Linked DNA regions of Drosophila melanogaster. The protein of the gene in region 1 purifies or fractionates together with the protein of each later gene. This does not show direct contact. Each region holds a gene or a part of one and is shown in the gene's direction. Other genes may lie near its edges. The genes, in order: cactin and Deaf1.

Region 1 (5,038 bases):
TTAGAGAAAGTAGTCCGCCTGAGGCTTCTTCGAGGGAATGCCGCGACTCTCTTGCGGAGCTGCCTCAAAGATGACGAAGTCGCGGTGCAGGTACTCATTCAGCTCCAGGATGGCAGCTACATTGCCGCAGCTGCATGTGGAGAGATTCCAGAGTTAACAACACAAGTTCGAAATTGCACAGGAGGCTGACTCACCGATAGCAGTAATTGGGTGCCGACCAGACGGTCAGGACGGTTTCGTTGAAGTGCCACTTGAAGCCCTCCATTACCAACTGGTGTGCACGGCAAATCATGTCGATATCGTTCGTGCGGTTGAACTGGGAGACCACGTCCGAGCCAAAGAGATAGCCAGCGCCGCGCGGCGACACGCCCCAGCCAGTCTGGTCCTCCGGATCGCTCCAAAGCAGGTCGCACATGGGCCCGTCGTGCGGCACCTCCTGCTTCCGGTCGATGCTGCGAATCTGGTCGAGGTACTGGATGGACGGCGACAGCCCGCCGTGCACGCAGAATATTTTGCCGTCGATGATCGCCGAAAGGCTGAGGTAGTCAAAGATCTCCGTGCAGTACCGCCACACGGCCGTCGATCCGTACTTGCGCAGGCACTCATCGTAAAAGCCGTAGACCTGTGTGATTTGGCGCGACTCATGGTTGCCCCGGATCAGCGTGATTCGGTCCGGATAGCGCACCTTCAGCGCCAACAGCAGCAGAAACGTCTCCACACTATAGTAGCCGCGGTCCACGAAATCGCCCATAAACAGGTAGTTCTTCTCGGGCACATCGCCGCCAACCTTGAACAGCTCCTTCAGGTCGTAGAACTGACCGTGGATGTCGCCGCACACGGTCACTGGCGAGTCCACACGCTGCACGTTGCCCTCCTCCACCAGGATCTCGCGGGCTTTGGCGCACAGGGCCTTCACCTCGTTCTCCTTGATGATCTCGCAGCGCTTCAGTTGCTCGATCTGTCGGTCCAGGTCGCTGTAGTCGGACATCTTCACCCGGAGGATGGCGGCAGCCGAGGCGACGGGGAAGCGGTGAATCGGACTGCAGGCGTTGACAGGGCGGGGACAGCGTTGTTAGTCGTTCACCAAACTGGCGCGGGTGGTTTTCAGGTAGCCACAAGGTTGCATAAGAGAAATACTATAAATTTTTGGTCGCTTGAGTGATAGGATAGGGTACTACTCTAGTCGTGCACAGCAAGTCTAGCGTTTTAGAGGCCATAAAGTGCATCTGTATAGCTGCATCCCCCACATCTAAGAATCAAGACGATTCAACTATATTTACGGATTGGGCAAATAATATAAACACACACATTCGCGTTCCCAGCTATTCCACTTGTTGAGATAGTCCATGAGGCTATTTCGCAATGAAAAGCCAACCAACGAGAAAAGAGGCTATATTCTCGATATAACTTCTTTTAGCTGTTTTAGATGGCTGTGTTTTAAGTGAATGCATACACATTTCTTTCAAATACGAAACGTGTATTTGACAGTGGATAGGGTTGGATTTGTTTTAAATCCAGAATTTCTGGATTAGAGATTAGTTCAGATTTTCAGTTGCTGCTGAACTGGAAGTAAGGTAACTAATAGTCGACTAATAACCATCCTTTTGTTTGTGTTTCGGTTTTTGAGTTCGCCTGCATGCGTCTGTGTGCGTCGGCTTTGTGCGGATGCTCGCGTGTGTGTGTGCGTCTGGCTTGTCGCTGGCCTTTTTGCCGCGCGCGATTTTCACCGTCTGCCGTGTTTTTCCTGTCTTCCCCGACACTTTTCCAGAATCACTACTTACTCAGCGCAGTGGCGGGCTATCTGGACAATCCTTTTGCTGGTAGCTCGGCTCTCGTGTTGGCGATTGAATACAAAAAATGCACATAAACGTTTTTGCCAACCGGGTTTCTGCGAAGAGCTGGATTGGCTACTTGCGTTTGTATCGATATATTGAGTAATGGCACTTGCAATGACACATCGAGTCTTCAGTTTCGATAGTGGGCATTACCACGAAGACCCTAAAAAGCCTTTTACACTGCACCAAGGATTCCATCGATAAATTATTTATTTTTGTGTATTTATAATACGCTGCAGCCGAAATTTTAAAATTTAAAGTTTGTAAAAACTAACCCTTGGAAAAATAAATCGACTTATCGGCAAGAGGGAGATGTGTTAATGTTATAATGCTTATATCGATAGCACTTTTGCAATTATTAGTGGCTATCTGGGTTGGTTTTCTCCATCTGGCAACGCTAGCATTGTTTATATTTTATTTCACAAGTTTTATCCCGAAAAACTCATTAAAAAAGATGCCCAAGGAGAAATCCAAGCACCGGCATCGCAGCCGCAGTCGGGAGAGGCGGGATCATCGCAGTCCGGATCCGAGGAGCAGCAGGAACAGGGATCGGGATCGTGAACGCGAGCGGGAAAAGGATCGTGACCACAGAGATCACAGAGACAAGGAACGTGACCAGCGCAGGGAAAGGGAAAAGGACAAAAGCAGGGACAAGAAGCGGGAGCACAAAAGCCGGAGACGCCGGTCCTCTTCCTCCAGCTCATCCCCGTCGAGTTCGACGTCCAGCTCGGTGCCCGGTGCCCCTCGTTCGCCGCTGGTAAAAAGCCCGATGAAGCTTCTCCAGACGCTGGAAGCCCGTCGCCTCGTCGAGCAGAAGGATCGTCAGCGTAAAAAGGAGGAGCTGAAGGCCCATGAAACGCCCGAGGAGAAGCGCGCCCGTCGCCTGCGCGAAAAGCAGGCCAAGGAGCAGCGGCGTCGCGAACGAATGGGCTGGGACAACGAGTACCAGACGTACTCCAACGAAGACAACCCGTTCGGGGACTCCAATCTCACCTCCACCTTCCACTGGGGCAAAAAGCTGGAGGTAGAGGGACTATCAAATCTCTCCACCAAAACCGTAGAGGTACTGTCTCTGCAAAAGCAGTTGGAAAATCGCAGGGAGCTGGAGAAGGTCAAGAAACGGCGTCAGGAGAGGGAGCTGGAGCGGCAGGTGCGCGAGGATGATCTTATGATGCAGCAGCGCGCCAAGGAGGCGGTGCAGTTCCGCGAGTGGCAGCGACAGGAAGATCAGTTTCACTTAGAGCAGGCACGCTTGCGCAGTGAAATCCGGATCCGAGATGGACGTGCCAAGCCCATCGATCTTCTCGCCCAATATGTGGCCGCTGGGAATGAGCCGCTCGAAGAGTGCCTCGAGATGCAGATGCACGAGCCCTATGTGCTGCTAAACGGCCTGCCCGTGGAAGAACTGGAGGACCTGCTGGTCGACATTAAGGTATACGAAGAGCTGGAGCAGGGCAAGCACATCGATTTCTGGAACGATATGATCACCATTGTGCAGGATGAACTGCAGCGCCAACAGAAACTGGAGGCGGAGAATAGTTCGCTCAATCAACGCCGGGATGGCATCCACCAGGCGGTGGTAAAGGATGTGGCCGATATTTTTAGGGGGAAGAATGCTCAGCAGCTGGAGGAGATGCGGCACCGCATCGAGGCCAAGATCAGTGGGCGAGCGGATGGCGTCGACATTAGCTACTGGGAAAGCCTGCTCTCGCAACTCAAGGCACACATGGCCAGAGCTCGACTGCGAGATCGCCATCAAGCCTTATTGCGCGAGAAGCTGTCGCTGCTCAAGCGAGAAAACGATAATGAGACGTTGCAAGAGAAGGTGGCCCCACAAGTCAAGGAAGAGGAGATGGAAACCCAGGACGCAGAGGACCCGGAGGTTGAGGAGGGCTCACCCGAAGACGAGGAGGATCCCCTGAATGAGCTGCGTAAAACAGTGCGTCTTTACCAGGCAGGGAACTACAGCCCGCGCTATATACGCGAAGAGGACTTCACCGGCAGACGAGCGCAAAACGAAGACGTCGACGAACCGGAGGCAGAAGGACTTCTCTACGAGGAGGAGGACGACGAGCGGCGAACACAGAGACAGCGTCTGCTAATCCTTCATCCAGAACGAGTGGATAACAATCAACTGACCCCGCAGGAACTGCGAATGCGCAACGAGGCGAAGCAGGGAATGCAGGGTGACGAGGCCGAGTTCAGTGTGGAGACCACCCTGGATGCAGTGCCGCAGCTGGCCACCGATAAGTACCGACCACGAAAGCCGCGCTACTTCAATCGCGTGCACACCGGCTTCGAGTGGAACAAGTACAACCAGACGCACTACGACATGGACAATCCCCCGCCCAAGATCGTGCAGGGATACAAGTTCAACATATTCTATCCGGACCTTATGGACAAATCGCAGACGCCGCAGTACTTCCTCACTCCCTGCGCGGACAACGGGGACTTTGCGGTGCTGCGTTTCCACACAGGACCACCGTACGAGGACATCGCCTTCAAGATCGTCAACCGGGAGTGGGAGTTTAGCTACAAGCGGGGCTTCCGCTGCCAGTTCCACAACAACATCTTCCAGCTGTGGTTCCACTTCAAGCGCTATCGCTACAGGCGGTGAAGGATTGTCACCGTCTGGCCTAGATTACCCAAACCATCCTTTTGTGCAGTCCTATGTTATTTTCCAATAAAGTGTAAGCCCAGAACAACTAGCAAACTCGTTCCATTTATTGCGATTGTTTAGTTGACTCCACTTAAACTGAAAACTGTTGTTTAACCTTTACCCATTTTTCAATTCATCCATCTTGCAAATAAGGAGAGCATTATAATGTTATATTTATTATTATATATGTATATACCATATATCACAGGATTTCAAATGGGTTCCACAAATGTTGGTGTAAGCGTGAAGCTATCGTGTTTAAACAGTCTAGGCGTGAAAGTAGGAGATCACATCACGACGCAGTCCTTGATGGGCTGCTCCAGGACTTTCTCCACGGGCTCTCCACGCTCCGCCTTCTGCACTTGGGCCAGGACACTCGCGTGCTGGGGAAATGCCAGGCAGGAAAGCTTCGAGTGCACTAGCTGACCGTCGATGGACACCTCGAAGGATCCCCGCCGTCCCGTGCGACAGGATATGTCCAAGTCGGGCGACGAGGCCAGCAGGAACTCGCGCAGCAGGTGGCACTGCCCGCTAAAGTTGCAGA
Region 2 (5,221 bases), on another chromosome or scaffold:
AAAAATACCATTTGGCGCCAATTAACAACGGTATTTAAATATTTAAATATGAAACTCATATGAATCAATTTTCATTATTTTACTTTGGCTAGACAATCTGAGTAAAAATCAACACAAGTCGAAACAAACACAAACAAACAATTAAATACTATTTATATTTGATCCTTAGTTTAATCACATCTTAAATGTGATACATTTTATCCAAGCATATCGTTATGACCTGCATATAGCGATCCCAAAGACATCTGGTTTCTTGGTCCCTGCAAAACATTTAGAGTTGATTATCAAAAAAGTTACTTGATTAATCTAGACAAAAGTACCCACCTTGATATTTCCAGATCCAAAACGCTTTGCGTTATGGAAGCCAAAAATTTATTCACTTGCTCACGGTTCCAGCCATTCTGACGCCAAGGATCAATAAGCTTCTCACAGAGATCGACGAAAAGATCGCGCAGCTCCCGATTGCGATGCAAATTGCAGGCGATGGTGATCAGGGCGCGCCAGTAAGAACTGCAAATCAAAACAGATCAATAGTAAGAAAAGGTGATAATGTCGAGAAATAAGTCCTTACCGAAAGTTGCCATCCAGTTCGTGAAAGGCGCGCTCGAGAAGAACGGGTTTGAGGCGCATGCAGACGAGGCTAAATGCAAGGACTAAACTATATAATAGCTCGTGTGCGGTAGAAAAATAAATCTCACTGCTTAATCTCCTTTTCCTTGTCGAGTAGACAGCGCAACTCCCGCAGGTCCAAGAGAAACTCTTTGTCCATTTCGGTATCATAGTACTCCGGTCCAGTGTGCTGCATTTAGTAAATTAGTTTCGTAAGGAATTAGCAGAGCTAAGTCATACCTGGTAAGTATACGTCCAGTAGATCATGATGGCATGGGAGCAGGTCAACAAATCACTGAAGCTCAGGTATTGCAACTTTTTTTTGGTGGTTTCGAAACGCAGGCAGGCCAGGAAAACAATGCAGGCGTACTTTCTGTAAGAGTGAAAGGTTTAGCTTTTTGAAGTTCAATACATTGATTATATTCATACTTGGCTAGATCGGTGGATATGATGAAGTGTTGCTTGATGTTGTTGGTTAACGTGCCCGGCATTTCCTCGACTGCCTTAAAAATGCGTTTTACGTTGTCAAATTGTCGGCTGAAGAAGAAGTTGAAATATATTAGACTCTACTCTGCCTAAGTAGCGGCCAAATTTACCCACCGAACTGATTTTAGCTTGACGCACGTCTTCTCGGCCACCTCGTCGAGGTCCTTGCGGTAGCGGGACGACAGCTTCTTGCCAAGAATTTCGCGAGCCACCACATCATCGATGGAATAGTACTTCTCGGTGATAAGGTCACGCATTTGTGGCTCCAGCTGGAAGCAGGATTGCTCCATCAGTTTGGTGGGTGCGTTTAGGTATAGTTCAATCAGGGAATAGGTGCGGTAATGATCCAGTACATCCGATGCAATCAGGTCGCTGGGAGCGCCCATGGAGTGACCAAAACCCTTCTGTTTCAGATAGGACACCGCCTCGCTGGCTATAATTGTAAATCGATGGAGCCGTTTGACATGAAACAAGATTGCAATTGGGAGAAGAAAACTTACAGGAGAAGCCTTCGATCCATAGCTGGTAAATTTCTGGATCGATGATTGTATAATTACTTATAAACACATCCACATCGGCCTGTAAGCATTCAGTTTTACTATTTATTATTATTTTGGATCATCAGATAGTTACCATTATATTGCTAGAGTGACCGTTTTCTGAACTAGCTGTCCAATTGGATATATCGAAATGTATGTTAGAGATGAAACACTGTGTAGTTCCAACACAAGCAGCATAGTTTATTCTTCTCATGAATTTAAAACTTTTCCTTGAAAGTAATAAATCGTTCTTGTTTTCATAACATCAATATATCCTATTAATAAACAAGCGAAAATGTTTAGAGTAATAATGGTAAAACCAAATTCGGTGTGATTTTGAGTTTTAAGATCAAGTCATAAGGAAATCTTTAAAATTGTAATTCTCAGAAATCTTAATTTAATATGCAAGATATATAGCTGTAAACTTTCCGATATTTAAAAACCAGAGATGGGGCACAGATAGCGAGCACGAATCACGACTATCGATAGTGCCGATAGCGGGCGATAGCTGCAACGCGCATGACAACTCTAGTTATCATGAGGAAGAAGAGGAGGATATCAACTTTTTTAGTAAATTAGTAAAGTTTAAGCTTAAAAAATGTAAATTGCAATGAACCACCAGCTGTAAATAGGGCAATGCAACTTGAACGCGACCTGCGCGCAATTCGCATGTAAGTCGTGGTGAGCGCTGAAAAAAACGCGGATCGCGGCGGCAGCAACAACAACAACAACAACAGACCGTCCGTCGTCTCGGTAGACGTCGAATAATATACATATATCGCAATAATCCAATTGCAAGTGGTAATCCGATGAACAATTCAAGTGCATTACTATCGTTGGACCGCAGAATAAGTGAAAGTGAACTGGCATAACAATACTATGGAACAGGTTGACTCCTCCACCGAGCTGCACCTGAATAGGAAAGATCTGGCCGCGCTGGCCGAGGATGTTGTGAAAGAAGAGGTGATATTAGAAAGCTCCAGCCATCACCATCATCATCATCACCACCAGGTAAGAAAAAGGAGCAACAAACGGCTGCGTAAGGAGCCCATTTGGTTTTGGATTTTCCATTCGCTTCTCCTTTGGCGGGGTGGTTTTGGTTCCGGACTGTGTGTTTGGTTCAGGTTCTATCTATTGAATCCGAAACCGAATCTGGCTCGAAAACCGCTCCGCTTCGCTCTGCGCAGTTGTGGAAAGTGGGTGGTGGGTGGTTGGGCTAGGTGGCCTGGGGGTGGCGCAACTTGCGCCCTACGGAACGCTCCGTGCGACCCACTGGGCCACAGGCATTCCCCGCTCGCCTTCTCGCCTCCATCCACTCCCAATTTGCCTCCTCCTCCTCGTTTTCCCCCTCCACCCACCGCATTTGTGGCGCACAAATGTTGTGTATACCGATTTTCATTTTTCCCATGCTGTGTTGTTTACTTACATTCGAATTTTCATTCCCGATTCCTGTGCAAATCGCATTGAATTAAATCGCAAACGCCATCAATTGGCCGCTGGACACTCACCCACATACATGTGACGAACGTGGGAATATGTGCGCTATGGTAATGCAGTTGGACACCAAGGTTCGCATGGTCACATCCTCCTCCAACGACAACAGTGGTAGCGGCGGCGCCAGTGGCGGTACAAGCGGAGCGGGCGGAGGAAACGGCGGTGGCGGTGTGGTTTCGGTGCCCGTATCCCTGCCCATCGGTTCGATGATAACCGGCACTACCTTCAATGTGATCACGCCCGACCAGCTGCCCCCTCACTTCAAGCCGATGCTGTGCGTCGACAACAATGGCTACCTGTCCGGCAGCACGGTCAGCATGGGCAACGACCTCAAGACGATCGTCATCCAGCAACAGCAGACGCAACCAGGCGGCGGCGGTGGCGGCGCCAATAATGCGGGCACCAATACGACCGCCACAAATACGATTGGACTGAATCACGATGGCTCCGGGAGCAACAATAGCCACGACAGCCTGGCCACCTTGGAGCACGCCGCGGGCGGAGCGAGTGGCGTCGGCGGTGGCGGCGGCGGAACGGGTGGTGGCTCCTCGGGATGGTCGGAGAACCCGTCAACCCAGCACAATGAGGTCTTCCAGATCCGCTGCAAAACCACCTGCGCCGAGTTATACCGCAGCAAGCTGGGCTCCGGCGGCCGTGGACGCTGTGTGAAGTACAAGGACAAGTGGCATACGCCCAGTGAGTTTGAGCATGTGTGTGGCCGGGGCTCCAGCAAGGATTGGAAGCGTTCGATCAAGTACGGCGGCAAATCGCTGCAGTCCCTCATCGATGAGGGTACGCTCACGCCGCACGCGACCAACTGCAGCTGCACCGTCTGCTGCGACGACGAAGCAGGTGAGTCAGGTGAGACGAACAACAATTACTACACACTCCCCCCTTCTGCATGGCGCACCGAGTTGACCTGGTCATCGGTCCGTCATGGTGTCCCAGGTGCAGGACTCGCGCACAAACCGAATTCATAACACCACAGCTTTAAAAACCCACCTGACTTCTGTTTATCAACAATTTTTTGTTTGCAAACTATAGGGTTTAAACAATTCCAAGTAATTGGAAATTTTACTCAGCAAGGGCTTCTTGGGCAAAAATGTTGCAAGAAATAATATTAAAACTTTCTTATTCTCAAGTGTGTATGTCATATTGTAACCCTATAGAACATCTCATTAAGGAATGAGATGTAATGATGAACTCCAATTAAGAACACAAGTCCGTTTTAAGTTGAAGGCAGCCGTCGGGCTGACATATATTTATTCAATTTCTTCTTTTGATTTTAGAGTAGGCAGAAATGGTTCTGTCAGCTCAACGTCTACAGAGTCTCTCCGATTTTACAGTTTTTTATATATTTGGACTTAGGCTAATCCGCGTAGCTGCGCTGCCGGGTACGCCAGCAGCGGAGCGGCGTTCTTATGTATATCTTATATATCTAGGCTTATCGGGAGAGCGAGATATGTATGTACGTATGTAATATGTATTTGGTCGGCGTGTGAATGCTGACCATGCACTTATACTTTTTGCCTTCGAGTGGGTGATCATGTTACATCCGCCCTGGCCTAACTGCGTGCATAAACATAAACATAAACATAGCAACAAAGTGCTGCCATAAGTTAATATGCTATTTTATTTAATTGTTCTTAATATTGCATAGGCACATACTACATCTCCCTCCTTTTGAAAAATAACGTAACCTAGTGAAGTTATTTTGATTATTAAATGCAAATTATTTTATTTTTATTTTTATTTTGTTTGTGTTTTTGTTTGAACAACAATAGTTGATTTTATAATGCAAAGATAAAAATATACGTAGTGTATGGAAAATTTGTATAAATGATTAAGGAAAATATAAGTTTAAATTCAATCATGAATGAAATTTCTTTAATCTATCTTTATGAACTATTTGTTTTTTGTTTTTATTAGTAAGTAGCGTAATATTGTTATTATCTCCTATGCTTTCTATCTTATAGGGCCCCGTATATTTAAAGTCTAATTTATGACCTACCTCATTTCTTAGTAAAACTTTATCTCCTACTTCTAATTCTATGTCTTTTATTTTTAAGTCATAATTTTCTTTATTTTTTTCT

What was found.
Region 2: the proteins of cactin (region 1) and Deaf1 purify together in Drosophila melanogaster (affinity purification with western blotting, with the first as the bait; one study listed by BioGRID). This does not show direct contact.

The regions. Positions count from the first base shown.
Region 1 is NC_004354.4:20,421,865-20,426,902, forward strand, and holds cactin (cactin), read left to right. Parts: upstream 1-2,204; 5' UTR 2,205-2,289; coding exon 2,290-4,452; 3' UTR 4,453-4,538; downstream 4,539-5,038. Other genes in the region: Pp4-19C (protein phosphatase 19C), read right to left, coding at 1-130, 195-988; CG15456 (uncharacterized protein), read right to left, coding at 4,782-5,038. UniProt on the Drosophila melanogaster protein: Plays a role in pre-mRNA splicing by facilitating excision of a subset of introns. Plays a role during early embryonic development. Involved in the dorsal-ventral embryonic patterning.
Region 2 is NT_037436.4:19,816,022-19,821,242, forward strand, and holds the start of Deaf1 (deformed epidermal autoregulatory factor-1), read left to right. Parts: upstream 1-2,152; 5' UTR 2,153-2,513; coding exon 2,514-2,645; intron 2,646-3,080; exon of another isoform or gene 3,081-3,169; coding exon of another isoform or gene 3,170-3,190; coding exon 3,191-3,989; intron 3,990-5,221. Other genes in the region: fibp, read right to left, coding at 182-260, 325-510, 572-640, 699-799, 850-982, 1,039-1,146, 1,210-1,528, 1,596-1,674 and 1 more. UniProt on the Drosophila melanogaster protein: Transcription factor that binds the homeotic Deformed (Dfd) response element. High affinity binding sites contain at least 1 TTCG motif surrounded by additional TCG sequences.